Coturnix japonica: one gene and its partners. The protein of the gene in region 2 binds, or shares a complex with, the protein of the main gene of each other region. Links are inferred from orthologs where the notes say so. Each region holds a gene or a part of one and is shown on either strand. Other genes may lie near its edges. The genes, in order: CNOT7, CNOT11, CNOT10, CNOT8 and CNOT2.

The links.
Region 1: CNOT11 (region 2) and CNOT7 share a complex: the UniProt entries of both Homo sapiens proteins name them as parts of the CCR4-NOT complex. The link is inferred for Coturnix japonica from reciprocal best matches to the Homo sapiens genes CNOT11 and CNOT7.
Region 3: CNOT11 (region 2) and CNOT10 share a complex: the UniProt entries of both Homo sapiens proteins name them as parts of the CCR4-NOT complex. The link is inferred for Coturnix japonica from reciprocal best matches to the Homo sapiens genes CNOT11 and CNOT10.
Region 4: CNOT11 (region 2) and CNOT8 share a complex: the UniProt entries of both Homo sapiens proteins name them as parts of the CCR4-NOT complex. The link is inferred for Coturnix japonica from reciprocal best matches to the Homo sapiens genes CNOT11 and CNOT8.
Region 5: CNOT11 (region 2) and CNOT2 share a complex: the UniProt entries of both Homo sapiens proteins name them as parts of the CCR4-NOT complex. The link is inferred for Coturnix japonica from reciprocal best matches to the Homo sapiens genes CNOT11 and CNOT2.

What each region holds. Positions count from the first base shown.
Region 1 is NC_029519.1:56,951,582-56,955,127, forward strand, and holds the end of CNOT7 (CCR4-NOT transcription complex subunit 7), read left to right. Parts: intron 1-1,307; coding exon 1,308-1,436; 3' UTR 1,437-3,033; downstream 3,034-3,546. UniProt on the Homo sapiens protein: Has 3'-5' poly(A) exoribonuclease activity for synthetic poly(A) RNA substrate. Its function seems to be partially redundant with that of CNOT8.
Region 2 is NC_029516.1:120,253,671-120,257,810, reverse strand, and holds the start of CNOT11 (CCR4-NOT transcription complex subunit 11), read right to left. Parts: upstream 2,816-4,140; 5' UTR 2,744-2,815; coding exon 2,332-2,743; intron 2,186-2,331; coding exon 2,021-2,185; intron 1-2,020. UniProt on the Homo sapiens protein: Component of the CCR4-NOT complex which is one of the major cellular mRNA deadenylases and is linked to various cellular processes including bulk mRNA degradation, miRNA-mediated repression, translational repression during translational initiation and general transcription regulation.
Region 3 is NC_029517.1:37,337,539-37,341,053, reverse strand, and holds part of CNOT10 (CCR4-NOT transcription complex subunit 10), read right to left. Parts: intron 765-3,515; coding exon 651-764; intron 1-650. UniProt on the Homo sapiens protein: Component of the CCR4-NOT complex which is one of the major cellular mRNA deadenylases and is linked to various cellular processes including bulk mRNA degradation, miRNA-mediated repression, translational repression during translational initiation and general transcription regulation.
Region 4 is NC_029528.1:5,997,964-6,001,950, forward strand, and holds the start of CNOT8 (CCR4-NOT transcription complex subunit 8), read left to right. Parts: upstream 1-1,180; 5' UTR 1,181-1,272; exon of another isoform or gene 1,273-1,561; intron 1,562-1,937; 5' UTR 1,938-2,023; coding exon 2,024-2,140; intron 2,141-2,642; coding exon 2,643-2,836; intron 2,837-3,535; coding exon 3,536-3,697; intron 3,698-3,987. Other genes in the region: FAXDC2 (fatty acid hydroxylase domain-containing protein 2), read right to left, coding at 1-71, 157-398. UniProt on the Homo sapiens protein: Has 3'-5' poly(A) exoribonuclease activity for synthetic poly(A) RNA substrate. Its function seems to be partially redundant with that of CNOT7.
Region 5 is NC_029516.1:32,460,852-32,464,366, reverse strand, and holds part of CNOT2 (CCR4-NOT transcription complex subunit 2), read right to left. Parts: intron 3,473-3,515; coding exon 3,316-3,472; intron 1-3,315. UniProt on the Homo sapiens protein: Component of the CCR4-NOT complex which is one of the major cellular mRNA deadenylases and is linked to various cellular processes including bulk mRNA degradation, miRNA-mediated repression, translational repression during translational initiation and general transcription regulation.

The DNA of each region.
Region 1 (3,546 bases), on a different chromosome or scaffold from region 2:
CCTGAAACTGTTGATGTTGTTGAGCTGGTCATGGGTTACGTAGAGGATGTTGCTTATGATGTGGTCCACCTGTGATCTTCACAGGTGCTGTTAACTGCAATCTTTTGTATTTGAACCAAAATCTAAAGCAAATAAAGGAAGGTATTTGATTATACCTAAGGTGCAAGGTGCTGACTTTCAAAACCCATGATCGCCATGTAACAAATTGCATGTTATTATTAAAGAGTTTGTTGTCTCAGAGAAAAGAAATGTAGCTTTTAGTACAAATCATTTGTTTAAATAAGCCAACAAAGATTGATTGTTTTTTCAGGGTTTCTTTTAAAATACAACATTTTGAAGTAAGAACATCCTAGTCAAGAGCAGCAAATATACTTAGAGTGCACTTCTAAAGCCTTTTCAGTTGAGTTCAATGTTTAGCAATGTACGCTGGAGTGAAAAACGTTGTTTCACAATGTTTTTAAACGTACAAAATAGTGCTGATAAGTGTTAATAATTGCTTTTGGAACTTCAACTTGCTGGTTCGAGTCCCAGCCAAAAAATTTGGATCTTTTTCTTCCCATCAGAGATGTGTTAATATTGATGCTGGAACAGCAAGCTGTGGTTTAGAGGTTTTCCTCTCTGCTTATTATTCCTGCAGTACAGAACCTGAAAGGTTCTATTGATAATTAAGACTTTTAAAGTCTTATGTAAATGTAGTCTTGGTTAAAAAAAAAAAAAAGCAGTTTCCTTTAATGTTGCTGCTCATTGTTAAATGAAGCCCTCTTAGAGGATGTAGCTGAGAAATGCAGGAAGATACATTTGCCGAACTCAGTAGTTTCTGTGCTTGAGCACGTACCTCCTCATTCTCACCTCACACCCACGTAGTATAAATCTGTTTTAAGACAAGGTGTGATGGAACCCCCACAACAATAAGCAGGTAAACTGTGGGCACTTGCAATGAATACCAAACATACATCTGCTGTGAGAAAGCAGAAAGAAATATGCCAGAGAAAATATTTTGTTGTGCTTTCAGAAAAGCAAGTAATAACGGAGGTAATACCAAACTGCCAAAACATGGTCGTTTTGGCAGGTGAGGTGCACAGGTGACTGTTTGTATTCCTTCCTTTAAACAATTGCACTGTATAGCACATTTTGATCATGTGTTGAGATTAAATGCATTGTTATGCTAATTCTGTCATTTGAATCTTGGGATGTGATATGCAGTGCTAAAACCAACAGTGTAATGTCTTTTAGCCTTTCTGTCATTCTGTTTAAACTGGGTGTTTTTGGTGGCATTAATTTGTGTCTTTTTCTTTTTAACACTTCAGATGTTCTTTGAAGATCACATTGACGATGCCAAATATTGTGGCCACTTGTATGGCCTTGGTTCGGGGTCATCTTATGTACAAAATGGCACGGGAAATGCTTATGAAGAAGAAGCCAACAAGCAGTCATGACACGAAATGAAAGGCCGTCTTTTTGAGCTCCACATGCTTGTACATACGTTTTATCTCTGGTTGAACCCCTTGGACAATAAGGCTTTTTTTCTCCCTTTCTCAGCACACTTTCTTTTCTGCCTTTCTATGTATTAAACCTGACTGTTCCTATCACAGATTTTGATCTTGATATTGATATGTAGAATTTTATGGGTTACTTTTGGAGTCATAACTAGCCCATTTGTAAAGAAGCTTGTGTAGGATCAGTGTGGCAGAGAGAAGGGGAAAGCTAAATCATTATGAATAGTATGGTAAACTTGCCTATATCGGTCTTTGGTCTTAGGTTTTTTGTCTCTTTCCCCTCCCTTCTCCAAATTAACTCATGCTGATTGTAACTAACTTCCCCGTTCATGTCTGTTCCTTCCAGTATGCAGGCGTTTTAGCTATTCAAGATTGTGGACCATCAAATTTGCACTTTAGAGAGCAACTCTGACTCAATCCTCTGTTTCATTTGAAGTTTTTTTTTTCCCTTCTGCCCTTAGCTAGGAAACAATAATCCTCCAAGTTCAGCAGCTTCACACTGTATTTTTGGCATCTTTTGGTATTTCAACCCATAGAACATGACATTTGCTGTATAACCTGCATTCGTTCAAGCAAAACAAACTACTGAAACCATAGTAACTGCTGTTGTTTTACTAGTGTTCTGCCATCAAACACGTCCTGCACATGCCAACTGCTGGTTGGCTGGCTGCTTTAGATCCGCTCTGTGAGGAGGGAAAGAAGCTTGAGAAGACAGCTTTAAACCCTTCAGGAAAAGAACAGCTGTGACTTTACCACCTTTGCCATTAAGCTGAGATTTGAAGGCTATTGGAATAGTAGGAATTTTGTAATGGCGCACTTCCCTTGATTAACTTTTATTCTAGTGACACATATACAACAAATATTTTTTTATGAAGTCGTATTTATTATGTAGGTGATTTGACAACTTTTGGAAGTCAGTTCAGTTCAAGATAAAACCCAAAGATCTGAAAAAAAACACAAAACAACCCTATTTAACTGAATTAGGACAACTAAATTGTGCTTTTTTGTAGTTGCTACAAAGACAGATGTTACAGATATTTGTTGTAAAACAACAAAATATAAATAACTTAGAACAAATAAAGTTACTTGAGGATTGTAATGCTAGTTTATTTTTGAGTATATCGTAGCAATATATTTTAGATATATTGTTTTAAAGGACCCTAAAATACGTTCTTATCTCTGCTTACCATGTGTACAGAGCAGTTGTGCAGGAGGCATTTTTGGTATTGAATAGCTAAATCCGAGCCTGAAATGATGGAAAGTGCGACATTGTGTGCCTGGGTGTGCGTGCGCGCGTAGCGGTGTGCGTGTTCCACTCGGAAATCAATCATAGAAAAACTCCAGATGTTCGCCAATTCTTCTGTTTACCTTGTACTGCAAAGACGAATAACAGATGGCACCAAATACCTTTTTCATTGGGTTACAACGATGTAACTGGGTGGTCCTTTTTAAACAACAAATAATTTGCATAACAGAGGGTATTTGTTTTTAAAGCTTTTGTAAATAAAGGCCTAAAAAATGTTTTCTTACATAACAAGAGACTGGTGGTTTTGTTGAAGTTGTATTTTTCCTCCTGGAATGTATGTGTTACAGACAGTGTGTGATACAGACAGTAATACTGTACTGCTCTTTTGTTTGGACATGATGATTCTCTTCCTCTGTTTGGGAAGTGATGCAGTTTGCTGCTTGCTGATTGATGCCTCATCCAGAGCTGACTTCTGTTTGCACTGACTCCCACTGACCTGCATGGCTAGAGTGGTAACTACAGCTTAGTTCTGAAGCGACCAAACTCCACTGGTGATTTCTGTTGGTATCATTATGCATTAGGTAAGGGAGTGTTATCTTATTTTTAACTTTGTTTGTCTTTGGCTTTAACAAGAAGATGGGCACTGTCTGACAGAAGGACACAATGCATTCTTACAGTGGTATCAAATTCTGCCTTTTAGTATTTAGGTTTGACTAAAAATTATGTATATGCGCAGAATGAAGAACCCCTGAAATCAATACATTTGTTTTCAGCTTTAATAGCTGATAGAGGCAAATATAATGA
Region 2 (4,140 bases):
GGCACCACGTAAGCTGCTTTTGCATAGGAGTTTAATTGATACAGGATTCTACAGTTACAGCTATAAAGTCCTGTAAGAGCATCCCTCTAAAGCCCAAATTACAGAGCATAAACAAGGTACATAGAAGTAATACTAAATTTAGCATATGAAGCTGAAGACGTGAAAGAGTGGTAAAATAAACTATTACAACCAATCAATATTTGCACTGTCAAATTTTAGGTGTTCTTCTGTCACAGTCTCTCGCTCTTCCATACCTGAAGGCTTAAGGGCTGACCTTCCATATTCTCTGTATTAGTGAGAACCATGTTTTCTATTACCTTGGTAAAAGCAAACCAACAAAAGCCCAACAACATGCAGGAAAGCCAAGAGCCTGCCATACAATGCCATCTTATGTTCCTTCCCTCCCCCTCCCAAGGAGGATATTAAGTAGCAGATAAAGTCTCAAGTAATCTGAAGGCCAAATTTGCTGGTCCCACACGAAATCAACACCATTTCTTATCCGGATGATTAATTAAGTGTAGTGCCCTCAGCTTCAGTACCCCATCCTTATCTCTTTTAACAAAGCACACTTTTTTGTGCAGCCATATAACCCTTTGCAGCTCCTCATCCGTATGAAACTCTATTTCAGATCCATGAGAGACGCTTACAGCAAAACTCCTGTAGGTAACAAAAGGACACAGACACAAAGCTCTGCCTACTGCTAGTTTATACTAGAAATGTCCATCTTCCAATTATGTCAGCCCATGCAAAACACTGGAATATATGCTCAAACTTTATACGCTGTTGGAAATTCCAGCTTGTGAGTTCTACCATTCAGCTCCTACAGGGATCAGCTGAGTCAACGTAAGAAGTTCTCTGAGAAGAAAACAAGGTGACATACTGGGTGTCCTTCATTGTCATCCGTAGTCTAAAACTTACACCTATATAGGTATAAAGTCATGGATTGGTTGTATACCCTCAAATCCCCTCATCTCAAATGACTAATGATGCTTAATTAGAACAAAAGTTTAAGATACATTCTTACATGTTCCCGAACATCTCCAGGGATGGTGACCCCACCACATCCCTGGGCAGCCCAGTGTAAGCAGAAGGAAGGGGTGAGCGCTGTTAGCTAGAACACGGTTGTATTTCAGAAGAGAACACAGCAACTTGAACCAGTATGTTCAAATTGAAGAAAACAATTCCTACGAATGCAATCACTTATGTTTTATCAGGCTCTCTTGATCTGGAGAATCAAGACGCTCTATTCCAGCAACTGACATTCAATAGAAGAGCCTACAAGAAAAGTTACCACAGTGAATCATAGAATCATAGAAAGGCCTGGGTTGCAAAGGACCACAGTGATCATCTGGTTTCAACCCCCTGCTATGTGCAGGGTCACCAACCACCAGACCAGGCTGCCCAGAGCCACATCCAGCCTGGCCTTCAATGCCTGCAGGGATGGGGCATCCACAGCCTCCTTGGGCAACCTGTTACAGTACGTCACCAACTGAACTGAAGTTTAGAAGCCAAGTACTGTATTGTGCAGAATAGAGTACCTAGGAAATAAACTGCTCGAGTTGGCAACTCATTCTAAGCAATATTTTCCATTTCAGATCAGCTCTAGATGCAACTTGTTGCTCCACACGATCAGAACAATCCTATTCCTGCCCAAGAATAAGCACTGAGTTCCTTATAGCCTAGTAAAGGCAGAACATTTAGTGTGAGCTAACACTGCAAAACCTGACCACAGTCCAACTTTTGCCACACAGACAGAAGCACCTCAAAGTCAAACAGCAATTAACATTTCACAGAATCACAGAATGACCCGGGTTGGAAGGGACCTCAAGGATCATGTAGTTCCAACCCCCCTGCCTGGCAGGGCCACCAAACATACACATTTACTAGATCAGGTTGCCCAGGGCCCCGTCCAACCTGGTCTTGAACACCTCCAAGGACGGGGCATCCACAACCTCCCTGGGCAGCCTGTTCCAGGGCCTAACCACTCTCCTATCACAGCACAGCCACATCTCCTCCTTACCCGCCAATGCCAGCTGTAGCCCGCTTATATCCACCGACTGGGCCATGTTGCCAACGTCCATGGCAGCGATCTGGCGCGGGGTCTTCTTGAACAGCTCCCTGGGGGGGGCCAGCATCAGCTGCGAGAGGAAGAACTTCTCGGGCGGGGTTATGGGCGGCAAGAAGCCTGCGGGGAGAGAGGGGAGCGGTAAGATTCCTGAGGCCATCACTACCCCGCGTGCTCCTTAAGCGTGGAGAGATCATCTCGTACAGTAACGTTACGGCAAAACGAGTGACCCTTCCCGCTGTCACAGCCCCGGCCGTTCCCGGCACCTGAGAGCGGGGTGCGCTCCGCCTCGTCGCCGCCGCGTTCGGGAGCGGGGTTGAGCAGGTGGGCGAAGACAGCGGCGAAGGGGTTTGCGGCGAGGGGCTCGGTGCGGTACATCTCCCATAGCAGGTACAGGGCGGTGAGGCGCTGCGCGGGGCTGGGCAGCAGGTCGGGCTGCTGCAGCAGCAGCACCAGCACGGAGCCCAGGCGGAAATGCTCGGCCTTGCCGAAGTAGTGGTGGAAGGCGCTGGAGAGGCCCTCGAAGGTGCTGCCGCCCGCCTCCTCCGACACGATGCCCAGCAGGCTCGTCAGCTCCTTCGGCGACAGGCTCATCCTGCCGCCCGCCGCTCCACCGCCGCCACCCGCTCCTCCCGCCTCACCGCCCGCCTCGGCCGGGCTGCCCCCGCCCCCGGGCATCCGCCTCACGGCGCACGGCCCCGCCGCTGCACAACACCGGAAGGCCGAGCGTTGAGGCGCCGGACGCGCTTTACGGCACGGCAGGGGATGGGCCGGGACATTGGGCCGGGACTGGCGGGGCGGGGCGGGGACGGAGCGCGACGGGCGTTGGGGCCAGTAGGGGGAGCGCAGCGCGTTCCACGCACACCGCCCTGTGGTGCTGTCATCTGATAGGACTAGGGGTAATGGGATGAAAGTACAGCATAGGAAGTTCGAACTTCTTTACAGTGAGGGTGATGGAGCACTGGAACAGGCTGCCCAGGGAGGTGGTGGAGTCTCCTTCTCTGGAGATATTCAAGACCCGCCTGGACGCCTACCTGTGTGACGTGGTGTAGGGAGCCTGCTTTGGCAGGGGGGTTGGACTCCATGACCTCTAGTGGTCCCTTCCAACCCCTACAATTCTGAGATTCTGTGACCTGAAACTGAGCAGCGGATTTTGTGCTTCTGGTGTGTGCAAGTTGTCTGGGTGCTCATCCACTCTCAAGTAGATCTGTGGTGCTTCTGCTCAGGTAGCAACAGAAATAGGCAGCAGGAGGGAGGTGAAAGAAAAAGGTGGCAAAGAAGTGATATTAAATTGACCTGCTTCACAGCAAGTGTTTGAGTTTCTTCTAGCGAAGAAGCTGAATCCTTCAGCTAGGAAATAACTTCCACTGGTGTATTTTTATCCCACATTTCACATGGGAAGAACACGATGGGAAGGAATTAAGTCACACCTTGAAGTCAAAGGGGAAATCAGAACACATCCAGATTGTTTTGTTTATTCTCACAAGGCTTTTCTCTTGTACACAGATTCCTTCCCTTAGTAATTTAAGTGACCCTGCCCATCTACAGTGTATTTTTAATAGCAACAAATCTAAAAGGGTTGGGGAAGTTAGGTTTCGTGTGAGCCTCTCCATATGCAGCTTTCTAGTGACCATTGCATGTTATCTTTCCTAGTTCAGCTCTTCAGTTCAAAACCTACCATGAGACAACAGAAACAGATTTATTACTCCTGGAGTAATCAACAATATTGGCGTGCTAACAATGCCTAAAAGCCTTCCTGAGCTTCACTTGTTCATCAGACCTCAAAGATGTCAAGCGATTCTTGGATGTATTTTGTAAAAACACCCCAGATACGATTTTACAATGGCTTCATATGTGCTGTTCCATGGTCATTCAGAAACAAACATGGTTGGTGATAAATTCTTGAGCTTCTGTGAACTGTAGTGACACTTGGGTATTTTAAGGCAGTTTTCAAGTGTCAGCCCATGTCAAGTCATTATTATTATTTTCCCCAGGGAGGTGGTTGAATCGCCATCCCTGGTTGTGTTTAAGAGCCATTTGGATGTGGTGCTCAGGGATATGAGTTAGCAGAGGGT
Region 3 (3,515 bases), on a different chromosome or scaffold from region 2:
ACACAGCAGTAGCTCAGCTACTCAGAAGCTTTGGAGCCCTGTTGACTGAGAGCACTGTTAGTTTAACTAAGCTTTAATCTGAAACAAAAGTTGAGCATGTGATTGTATAACATACATTTCAAATTAACTGTAATGAGTTATTAAAAAGCATCACTCAAAAGAACTTGTGCAAGTGAGATCTGTTAAAACAAGAGAAACTTCTTACATGTAACTAACCTATGCATCACTTAAGAGGAACAACTCAGTGCTCCAGCCTGCACAGAGGCTTTGCTTCTTGGCACCAAGATACAGGGCTCTGTCTTTGCAAACAACTCTTGACTTGAATTTCTTGCATTAAAAGAACACTGCCTTCATTGAACTACACATTACCTTATAAACTCCTCTGAAGTCCAGCTTTAATCCTCGCTAAAGGATGAGCTTCTACCATAGTTTGAAGGGAGACATAGAAATTAATTGACACAGAACCTTCTAGAGTATGCTGCCTCCAGCAGTTAAAATTGGCACGAGTTAGATTGCTCTCCACACGTACGTTGCCAGTTTTGCCAAATACAATTACTACCATCATAATAATATCGTTACTACAGACACAAGAAGCTTCAGCTCACGGCTCTCCAACAGAAAAGAGAAAGGAACAATGACATCAAACTTACTTCAGAGACCCGGACAGCTTTGGTTGCTGAAGGAGCTTATCTGCATGGTTCAGTGCCATAAGGTTATCGCCCAGAGCCAGAGCCACGTAAGCACTGCAGGCAAGTATTGAGCACCTGGAGGAGAAAAGGGAAAAGGGAAAAGGGGGAAAACAATGTGTTAATATTCTGTGATTTCAAATGCAGCTGTGAAATTTCTTCCTTAATAGATGTGCAGCAAATCCAGATGAAGACTACTTACACAGAGTACAAAAAGAACTGGAAGCAGGAGCAAAGAGCATGCTGCTCATCACTACATTCTTAGTAATTCTGGAGATTTACTTTCACACAGCAACAGTTCAGACTTCATTTACACGTAATAAAAGCAATAAAAAACTATTTGCCTCATATATGAAGATGTCAAATGAATGCTCATATATAAATGTATACCTACATATTCATTTTAAAAACCATACAACACCACTACATTAAATATTTATCTCTCAGTTGAAGTTATTGTACATTCAAGGGCAAATATTTGTAATTACCGAAGTCCTATATGTACCTAGAAAAACTAAGAACAATATAATCTCTAGATAATAGCTAATAATAACAGATAATTCTCTGTAATTTAGCAGCAAAAAAACACAAAAAAGATTTTGTTAGATTTAGTACGTTTTATTCTAAAAGTAGTACCTGAAGGAACAAATTATTCACTAGCACAAAATACAAAGACCTCAGCTTATTAAAATGAAAGACAGTTTTTAAGTGCTGAAGAAATAAATCCTCAGCCTTCAATATCATCCTCACAGCAAAGAGGGAAGTCAAGGAGCTGGTGTTCATCTATGGCCTCAATCGTGTTCTCTCAATCAGGAGATGCACACATTGTGTTTTACCACAGCCTCCTTTCAGGCAGCTGTAGAGAGCCATCAGGTCTCCCCTGAGCCTCCTCTTCTCCAGACTGAACAGCCCCAGCTCCCTCAGCCGCTCCCCATAAGACTTGTGCTCCAGACCCCTCACAGCTTCACTACACTTCTCAGAACACTGTTCTCCATAACAGAGGGACCTCACCAAAGCACTGTTTGTCTCAGGAACTTTCCCACCCTCATTTTATTTGTTAAACCTTGAATCTTCACTTGCACTTCTCTGCCCTCCCTCCTCCTTCAGAAAAGGAGAGCAGTTTTCTGTAGCACACAATGCTATAAATCACCTGGAACTACAGACATATTGTAGCTGTCAATTAAATTGTAACATATTTCGTTCTTGTATTTTACAACGTCTGTACACAGCGAGACAATAAAACAGCAGAGGATCCTGCACTGTCAGTTCCGTGTTACACAGAGCTGTAATCCTCCTCTGCCAGGAGTCTGATTTCAGATGTGGCATTCTACGGCTGCAACAGGCTTCCCTGTTTTTAAAGCACACAAAACACAACAGTCTGTGTGACAAAAATGACTTCCATTCTCCACCTTCACACAACAGTCCCACATCGGGATGCCTCCGTTCTGCCAAGCTTCCTGTTGTACTGGCTGGCCCCGCTCCTCAGGCTCTGCCACAGCACCGCTTGGTGGGGTCAGCCCATCCTGGGGCATGGGCCTCTCTCTGCTGGGCCCCCATTTTGCTCCCAGTCCTCCTGCCCCGCTCCCAACCCAGGGCAGCCGGCCTTGCTGCCTGGAGGAGGCTGCTACCCACTGCCCTTCTGGCAACTGTCAAGCCCACTTTGAGTCCCGCAGTAAGTCATGTAATTCGTGGCAGGGCCTGGGGTGCCTTTATTCCCCGTTCCCAGGAGGCATGCTCCTTAATTATGCACAAGCAGGGGGAGAAACTTCTCCAGTGTTTCTCCCTACCCCCCACTTCCTCTTAGCGTGCCCAGATGTCACATCAAATCTGAACACATACAAAAGCTTTCAAGAAAGAGAGGAAAGCTTCCCCAACTCAAGTCCCAAACCTAAAATATTTCTGAAAGGTTGTGACTGTGGGGAAGGGGGGGGGAAATCCCAAAATAATGGCCTGCCTCTAAGCAGACTCTTTCTTCTCTGCCCCAAGGAAGCAAGACTTTTAAACAAGCAGAGATGCTGTCCCACCAGCCAAACACCTTGCACTGCTGCTCCTGCCCTTTCAGTCAATACAGGTCTTCTACCCACCAGAACTTTAAAACCATTTTTAATTTTGAAAGTCTATATGCGAACAAAAGGCACGCTCCAGCCATACAACAATAAGCCCATCAAGTTGGAAACCTATCCCTCTGTTCTAAGGACTCGTTCCCATCTAATCCCTTTAAGACCTCTTCAGCAAAAGCCATCTAAAGAAGAGGAAAACATTGAACATTCCTTCCAATGCCGTCCTCGCGCACTTGGACTCATTGTTGAAGCAGCCAAAGCGAACGGAACACTCAGGAGACCTGACAGCTAATCAGAGCAGAAGAATTGCACCACAAGGGAAAAGACAAACTAGTTTTTCACCCCAGTCAGGATTCTGACAAAACTCTGCAGGTCGTCTTTAAGCTCTGGAGACTTCCAGCATTACTGAGCCCCTGCATTCCCGAAATAAAACCGCCTTTGCACTAGGAAAAAGAAAAATGTTTTTTTAAACCGCCAGATTATGTCAAACAACCTCTTGTGTAGGTCTAAGCAACAAGATTTGTCAGCCCACACTTGCTGCAAGTTTACAGAACCTGAATGATACATTTGGCTGAGCTCATTTCGCAGGGCAGAGGCAAAGTAGAGATCACCCAGTCCTTCACCACTTACCAGGAAGGCATAAAAATGGCACCTCAAAACCAGTTAGAAACATCACTAATCTGAAATAACTTTAAATAGCTAATTAGGCCCAGTGGTGGATATATACCACCTGGCTTTTTTTGTTTCGATGCAGACAACACAAACCAAA
Region 4 (3,987 bases), on a different chromosome or scaffold from region 2:
CTGTGTCTGGTGGCTCCCCTATTGTGCCAAGCCCTGCATAGCTCAGAAGGCAATTACAGCTCCTGGAAAAGCTTACAGTTGTATTTTAAACATACACAGGACATTGCCCTTTAGTTATTTCTAAGGTTTCAATCGGGTATTTTTAAGCCACGATACCTTTGAGCTCCGTCTCTTTGCTCACCTCCTGCTGGCTGTAGCCCAGTAGAGGTCCTTTGTACACAGTACAACTCCTCACCTTTCACTACTGCTGGGGAGACTTTATGAGGGTTTAACAGCGGGGTGTTTCCAAGCAGGAGTTGGCTGTCCCCTCCCAGACAAGTCATGTGAAGCCAGCACCGTGTCACTGTTAGTGCTGGCACTGCTCCCTGTTGCCACTCAGCCCAGTGCTCAGAATACATCTCTGTAGGTAGGAGTTTGTCATCAGGGTTGAATGGCTGTATATGTGAATAAAAAAGGCAGCTATACCTTAACGATAAGTCATTTCTACCAGAAACTAACTAGTGTTTTCAGCACAAAGCAGCTGATGCCAATGCAACCGAATGGCTCAAAGGCGCATTTGTGCAATGCGTGTGAGTTACGGGGCAGTCTGTAAAGCCAGCAGCACATCTCACTACATATATAACCTGCACCAGCTGTCCCTGCATCAAAGCTCCGTCTATAGGTCCTGTCTATGGGATGAGATGCAAACAGGTTCCGATGTGGTTGTGCTCAGTGGTGTTTCAATGCACTTATAGACCACAACGCCTGTAATTACAGCACTGCGAGGTGTAACTTGATGCAGATATGGCCCCAATCTGCACCACTTACCCCATATACAGGTTGCCCAGTTATTTGGGTTATTTGCATGTTATTTAGGCTCGCTCTGGTGACATAATTCATCTAATATGCTAAAGCAGGCGATAAGAGTGAACTGTGCAATGTCAGCGTTCATTTTAACCCCCGTTCAGTTCAGATATAGCTTCTATCTGAGGGATTTACAGCCTTTAAGATTAAAGGATGCCTTGCTTTGCTTTATACACCGGGTCACAGCGCAGCGCCACGTCACGGCCGGACACACAAGGACACCAGCACTGCGCATGCGCAGCTTTCCCCGTTCCCCCTCCGCGGGAGCGCGCACCAAGCGCGCGCCACCACACACCGCACCGCGCGCCGCTGAGGCTGTACCGGAAATCTCGCGAGAACAAAGCTCCAAACCCGGAAATCCCACCTCAGCCTGAGGCGTCATCGCGCATGCGCTGAAGAGAGAGAGAGAGGCACGGCCACAACTTCCGGGTAGGGCAGGTAGCGCCTGGGGGAGGGGAAGGAGATGGGGAGCGGAGCAGCGGGAGAGCGGGGCGGGACGGGACGGGAAAGGGAGGCACGGAGGGTCCCAGCGGGTCCCGGTAGGTCCCGGTAGGTGCGGGGCCTCTCGCGGTGCGGTGGAGGGCGGCGGTGGCGGCCGTGTCCGGGTGGGCCCCTGCCCTGAGGCGGCGCGGGTCGTGTAGGCCTCAACCGGGCCTGGGGCGGCGCTGGGCCGTTGTTTGTTGGCGGCTGCCTCGGGGAGGCCGATGGTGGTGATGATGTGCCGTATTGTGCCGTACTGTGCCATATTGTGCCGTACTGTGCCGTATTGTGCCGTGTTGTGCTGTACTGTGCCATATTGTGCCGTACTGTGCTATATTGTGCTATATTGTGCCGTATTGTGCTATATTGTGCCGTACTGTGCCATATTGTGCCGTACTGTGCCATATTGTGCCGTACTGTGCCATATTGTGCCGTACTGTGCCATATTGTGCCGTACTGTGCCATATTGTGCCGTGTTGTGCCGTATTGTGCCGTACTGTGCCGTACTGTGCTGTGCTGTGCCGTACTGTGCTGTATTGTGCTGTATTGTGCAGCTCGTTCCTTTTTTCTAGCTCTTTTTTCACTCATAGCTCCGTTCTGTCTGTTTCTTGCAGCACACTGATTAGATCTCGCAGCTTTCGGTTGTAACGCGGCCATCTGAAGGATTGGGGGGAGCTGGCTGTGCCCTGTGCCCGGCAGGATGCCAGCAGCCCTGGCGGAGAACAGCCAGGTGATCTGTGAGGTGTGGGCCAACAACCTGGAGGAGGAGATGAGGAAAATCCGAGAGATTGTGCTGAGTTACAGCTACATCGCAATGGTAAATGCTTGACTCATTTGTCTTATTCAAGGAATAGGGGCTAACGATAGTTGGACCCAGAGATCTTTTCCAGAGTCGATGATTCTGTGGTGGTTATGACAGCTTTGAGTGGGGATGCTAAACTCAAAGATAGGAGAGAAATTTGTAATGAAAGCATGATGTAAAAATACACGTGCCTTCAGAGCGCATAGAATTCAGCGCAGAACAAAGTTGTGTAAGTAAACAGTAAATGTGTATCTACATATTTCATATTGTATGTTGATTGGAAACGAGCTGCCTTGCTTCAATATCATCTCATTCTGGCCTGTTGTAATTGCTGTGCTGAGGCAGTGGGTACAGGAAGATGTGAAGGCAAAAATTCTCTCATGTGCTGGATCCTCTATGAAAGTTTTTGTGTGTTCTGAGTCAATTGATGTCATTTGACTTGAGAGCACAAATTGCTTGCTTTGTCGTTAGGGTCTGCCTTGATTTGCAGCCATAAGGTTTCCTCTTCCTTTTCTAGGACACGGAGTTTCCTGGGGTTGTTGTAAGGCCGATTGGGGAATTCCGCAGTTCCATAGACTATCAGTATCAGCTTCTTCGCTGTAATGTGGACCTTCTGAAAATCATCCAACTGGGCCTGACTTTCACAAACGAGAAAGGAGAGTATCCTTCTGGGATCAACACCTGGCAGTTTAACTTCAAATTCAACCTCACGTGAGTCTTCTGCATTAGGGAGCAACACCAGAAGAGATTATGTGAGGCTCAATGCCGGCATGACAGGCATTGCAGTATTTCTGGAATGATGTTATGATCTCAAACTTTACGTGCTTTTTATACATTTCCATATATTTTATGTAATCAATTAAATGCATGTATACTTACTATATACTTACTATAAGCTGATCATGCAGTTCTTGCAAACAGAAGTGGCAGTGTTTACTTGCACAACTGTCAGCCTCCTAAAAGCATTGGAGTCATAACAAAGAGGTTTTGACACTGAACGCTATTTGACTCAAAGTTATCATGTTTGGTTTGAGTTTTATTGACACTGTGACTCAAAGTTATCGTGTTTGATATGAGTTTTGTTGACTTCTCTCCCATCATCTGTGGCACTTCTGTTCCCTCAGTGTTACTTTTCAAGATGTCTGTTGTGTGAAGGTTTTATGGCATTCTTCAGGTTTGGCAATAGCGACAGAATTAATATTTGGTTAAGATTGCAGAATAGCTTGTTAAATGCATAGGAGTAATGGTATTAAAAGTGATTTGAGCTTCCTAGAGACACAGCCATGGAGCTCAGAGATGGATTGCCTGCAGGTCACTCTGATTTTCCAAAATGCAACTTGTGAGAAATCTTTTGGCAATGAGCCTTCCTTGTTAGCACCCTGACTGCAAAGCTCTGCTTTTCTCCTTCAGGGAGGATATGTACTCTCAGGATTCCATAGACCTCCTTGCAAGCTCTGGGCTGCAGTTCCAGAAGCATGAAGAAGAAGGGATTGATACCCTGCATTTTGCTGAGTTGCTCATGACTTCAGGGGTCGTCCTTAGTGACAGCGTGAAATGGCTGTCGTTTCACAGGTAGGTCTGAGGTGATTACTGGTACTACAGAACAAGATGCCTCTTTTTGGCTTAAATAGTGCTGCTTTGGACCATAGAGACTAACAGACCTTAAGGAGATGGATTTTAGCAGCTGTGCAGTTCTTAATATAAGTTTTAAATTGTAAAGGCGAACTTTAAGTACTGGTACTTCATTTTATCTCAGCACCTTCTGTGATCTGTATTTTGTGCGTGTTTTGCTGTTATCTTCCTCTATGGAAAAGAAGGTTGTAAGTATAGAAAAACACCCTAATGAGACGAATGTAACACTG
Region 5 (3,515 bases), about 88 Mb from region 2:
TTCACAGGTAGCTGCACTACAGTGCGCTTCCAATTACCCAGGTCAAGACGCTATGCAGAACTTTGTGGAAATGTTACTTGTATTAGGGTACACCCTCTTCAACCCTTGTTCCCTTCTTGACAACGACTTAATAGTTGCTACTAAGCATCTGAATCCTACACAGCTATCCCAACAAAACTAACTTCCAGCTGAGCCACAGAGCCTACACAGCCAAAATGGTGTCAGCCTCACTCGAGGTTACTAATCTTAGTGTAACAGCGAAAGTCTGTGCTAGAGAGCCTGCAGGAAGATTTCAGTAGCAATATCTGCTGATGATGGAAATAACTAAAACATTCTTTCTACTGAAAGCCTGGACAGTCATTGCCCAAGGAGAGGAGCTTCCTGCAACTCCACCACATCATGCATGCCCTAGCGACCTTCTGCCCTAAGGTGAAGAACAGAGGATTCCAACTGCATCACTTAAATGCAATAATAACAGGGGTTTCCACAGTGTCTCCTTTATGACATGAATAAAATGCTACTAATTTAACATTTTTCAAGGAGGTATTGGTTGTGGATGCCCCATCCCTGGAGGCATTCAAGGCCAGGCTGAATTTGGCTCTGGGCAGCTTTGTCTGGTGGTTGGCAACCCTGCATATAGTAGGGGGGTTGAAACTTGATTATTATTGTGGTCCTTTTCAACTCAGGCCATTCTGTGATTCCATGAAAAGCATCTGTCTTAAGAAAATATGGGACTGTATAGGCAATACATAATCATTATTTAAGAATAAGTGTTAACCTATCTATGCAGAAAAGAAGTACAAAACTAGGAGTTATTAGGTTTACTTCAAATAAAGATATAGGCAGAACTCTAAAATTGTGTTTTTAAAAGCACATTTATTGTGTGTTTAAATGGGATAAGCGACTTTAATATCAGAAGCACCTCAAAAGGCAGAAAAAGAAATCTGCTTCCCAAGTGCAAAATGTTTTTTTGTTGTTTTTTTTTTTTTCTAATGGCAATTTGTAAATCAAGCAAAGGATGCTTAACATAAGGCAAGACATTAAGGGTGGCACAGGCTTTATGCTAAACTGCTCTGTAGTATAAAATAAAACCAACTTTATGACACAGAATAGATTAAATACTAAACCTATCCCCTCCATCCAACACATAAATATCTAGTATACAGTAATTATGTGTTAAAAGTTTTTAAAAATCCTGCTCTTTAACATACATCTGCTGAAAAAAAGCAGCAGTATGTCACATGTATATATTGTTTATGTATGCATGCACAGTATTAACCTGGACGTTACACTCGGGAGCTGTATAGTACAGCTATAGGTCATCCCAAAGCAGAAAATCATGGAATGGTTGGAAGGGGCTTTAAGATCACCTAGCTCCAAATTCCCTATAGACTATTCAATAGGTGGGTAAAGGTTAAGTTTTATTTTAGGCATCAAAACTAACGCATAATGTTGTATAAAACATCAAATAATGAAATTACCAGAAGTATTATCCTACTACGTCTGCATGCCAGCTGTTTAACTAAATGATGTAACCAGATTTCACCTGTGTTGAGGAACAGTAACAGAGGAAGCTCAAGAATTAAGATTCAGATGTTCATAACATAATTTAGAGTACAAGGGCATTCTATTTTCAAGCTGATTATCCTCCAATTACTTTTGAGCAATTTGTACTGAGAAAAGTAAATAACTTTAGTATCAGGCAGATATCCCAGTGAATGCTAAAAAATCTAAAACTACTGAGAAAAAGCAGCAAACTGTGATAGGTTTAACTGTTCTTTATGTATTCTCAGCATGCTGAGGGAGAAGGAGATGGGAGTGAAGAACTGCTAGATTCAATAAGGAAGGGAGCTGTGTGCCTAACACAAGCAAAGAAAATACTGTGCTCAAGTAACACATTCAGCAAATAACTACACGCAATTGTACCAGAAGGATGAGTCTGGGGGGTGGTTTTGAAATATTTCTAAAAGCATTGATGATGCGACAACCTGACTATGTTTTGATGCAAACATTAGAGAAATATTTTCTAGAAATGATTATTTCTATAAAGTTATGCCTCGAGAAATAAATACGTACATTAATACCAATCATTTCAAGATGCAAAAATCAAGAGCTACTTTTTCCTGCCATTTCCCTCTCACCTTGATACTCCCATTCAGAAATCTTCTCTGCACTCACACATTCAGAGTGCAGCTCTGTATAAAATTTATGACAAACAGCAAGTCAGCATATATACTGTTTGGTCTTTGTTTGGCTAATGTTTTGTATGAACGATTTTAAATGCATGCACAAAACTGCCAGTAAGGTTAATATTACATAAATCTCTTCTGATAAAAAGCATCAGAACTCTTTATCTCATTTTTTCCCCACATACAAAGTGCCACAGAAGTAAGGCAAGTGACTGAGGTCAACCTCTGTGTTTTTCTTTGCTGAAAGATGAAGAGTCATTTACATAACATAAGGCAAAAATTCAGGACATGGTAAGATTGTATCAAAGGATAAGGACAACGCATGCTTCCTATCAACTGTATTTTACAGATTAAAATAAACTACAGGCCTGTTGTTCCCCCTCAGTGCCTCCCTCAATGAGAAGGGTATAAAATTCTTCATGATTGAAGAGTCACGATGGGACATTCCTAGCTGCCGAAGTACCAGAAATTGAACTTATCTCAGACAGCTGTAGTCATGAAGATAGGCATTTCTCCCCAAACTGGGGAAAAATCTAGATTCCTTCTGTAACAAGTACAGAAAAAGATGCTTTCTGGGCTGGTGATTCACCTTACTATTCTTAAGAACTTCTCTTACCATTGAGAACTTGTTATTTACTCTTCCATCCACTGCCACTAAAGGAAGCCTAGATGACTAAACTGAGGTGAAACGAATGGACGTTAACTCGAACACTGTATTTTCAACTTTGTTGCAGAGTAAACTCTGTAAATGCACTAGTACCTATCCCCCAGATTTCTGTGATATCTATACGTAATTACCTTCAAGGAATACTATTATTAGAAAAATAATGCGTATTTGAGGCCTACTAACAACACACTGTCAATTCCTTAAATAATGTCCTAAGAAGGTAGGAGAATAAGCAAAGCCACGAGACTTACTGAAAGCTTGCAAAACAAATCTCAGTATCCCTTGAAGCACAATTACCTTGTTTATGAAAGTTTTGTTTTACTGTCATTATGTTTTCAAATTTTATTTGGCAAAATGTCTTGTGGGTTTGATGCTTATGTCAACTAAGTTAATCTATTATTACCAACGACAGCATAATAAGAACCAAACTGAAGACAGTACTAAAAGACAGAAACTTACTCAGGAGAGTTGAGATTGAGACCTAGTGTTGTTAAATCACTTCCTAATGCAAGATGTACCATTCCTGGATCTGTCTCTGCTGCCCTGATGAATGTTAACAAGCCAATCATTCCAAACTGGTCCGTCACCATCCCTTGAGGAATGTTGGTAACCCGACCTGGGCAAGAAGAACAAATTAGTTTTGTTCTTTCAAGAAGTGA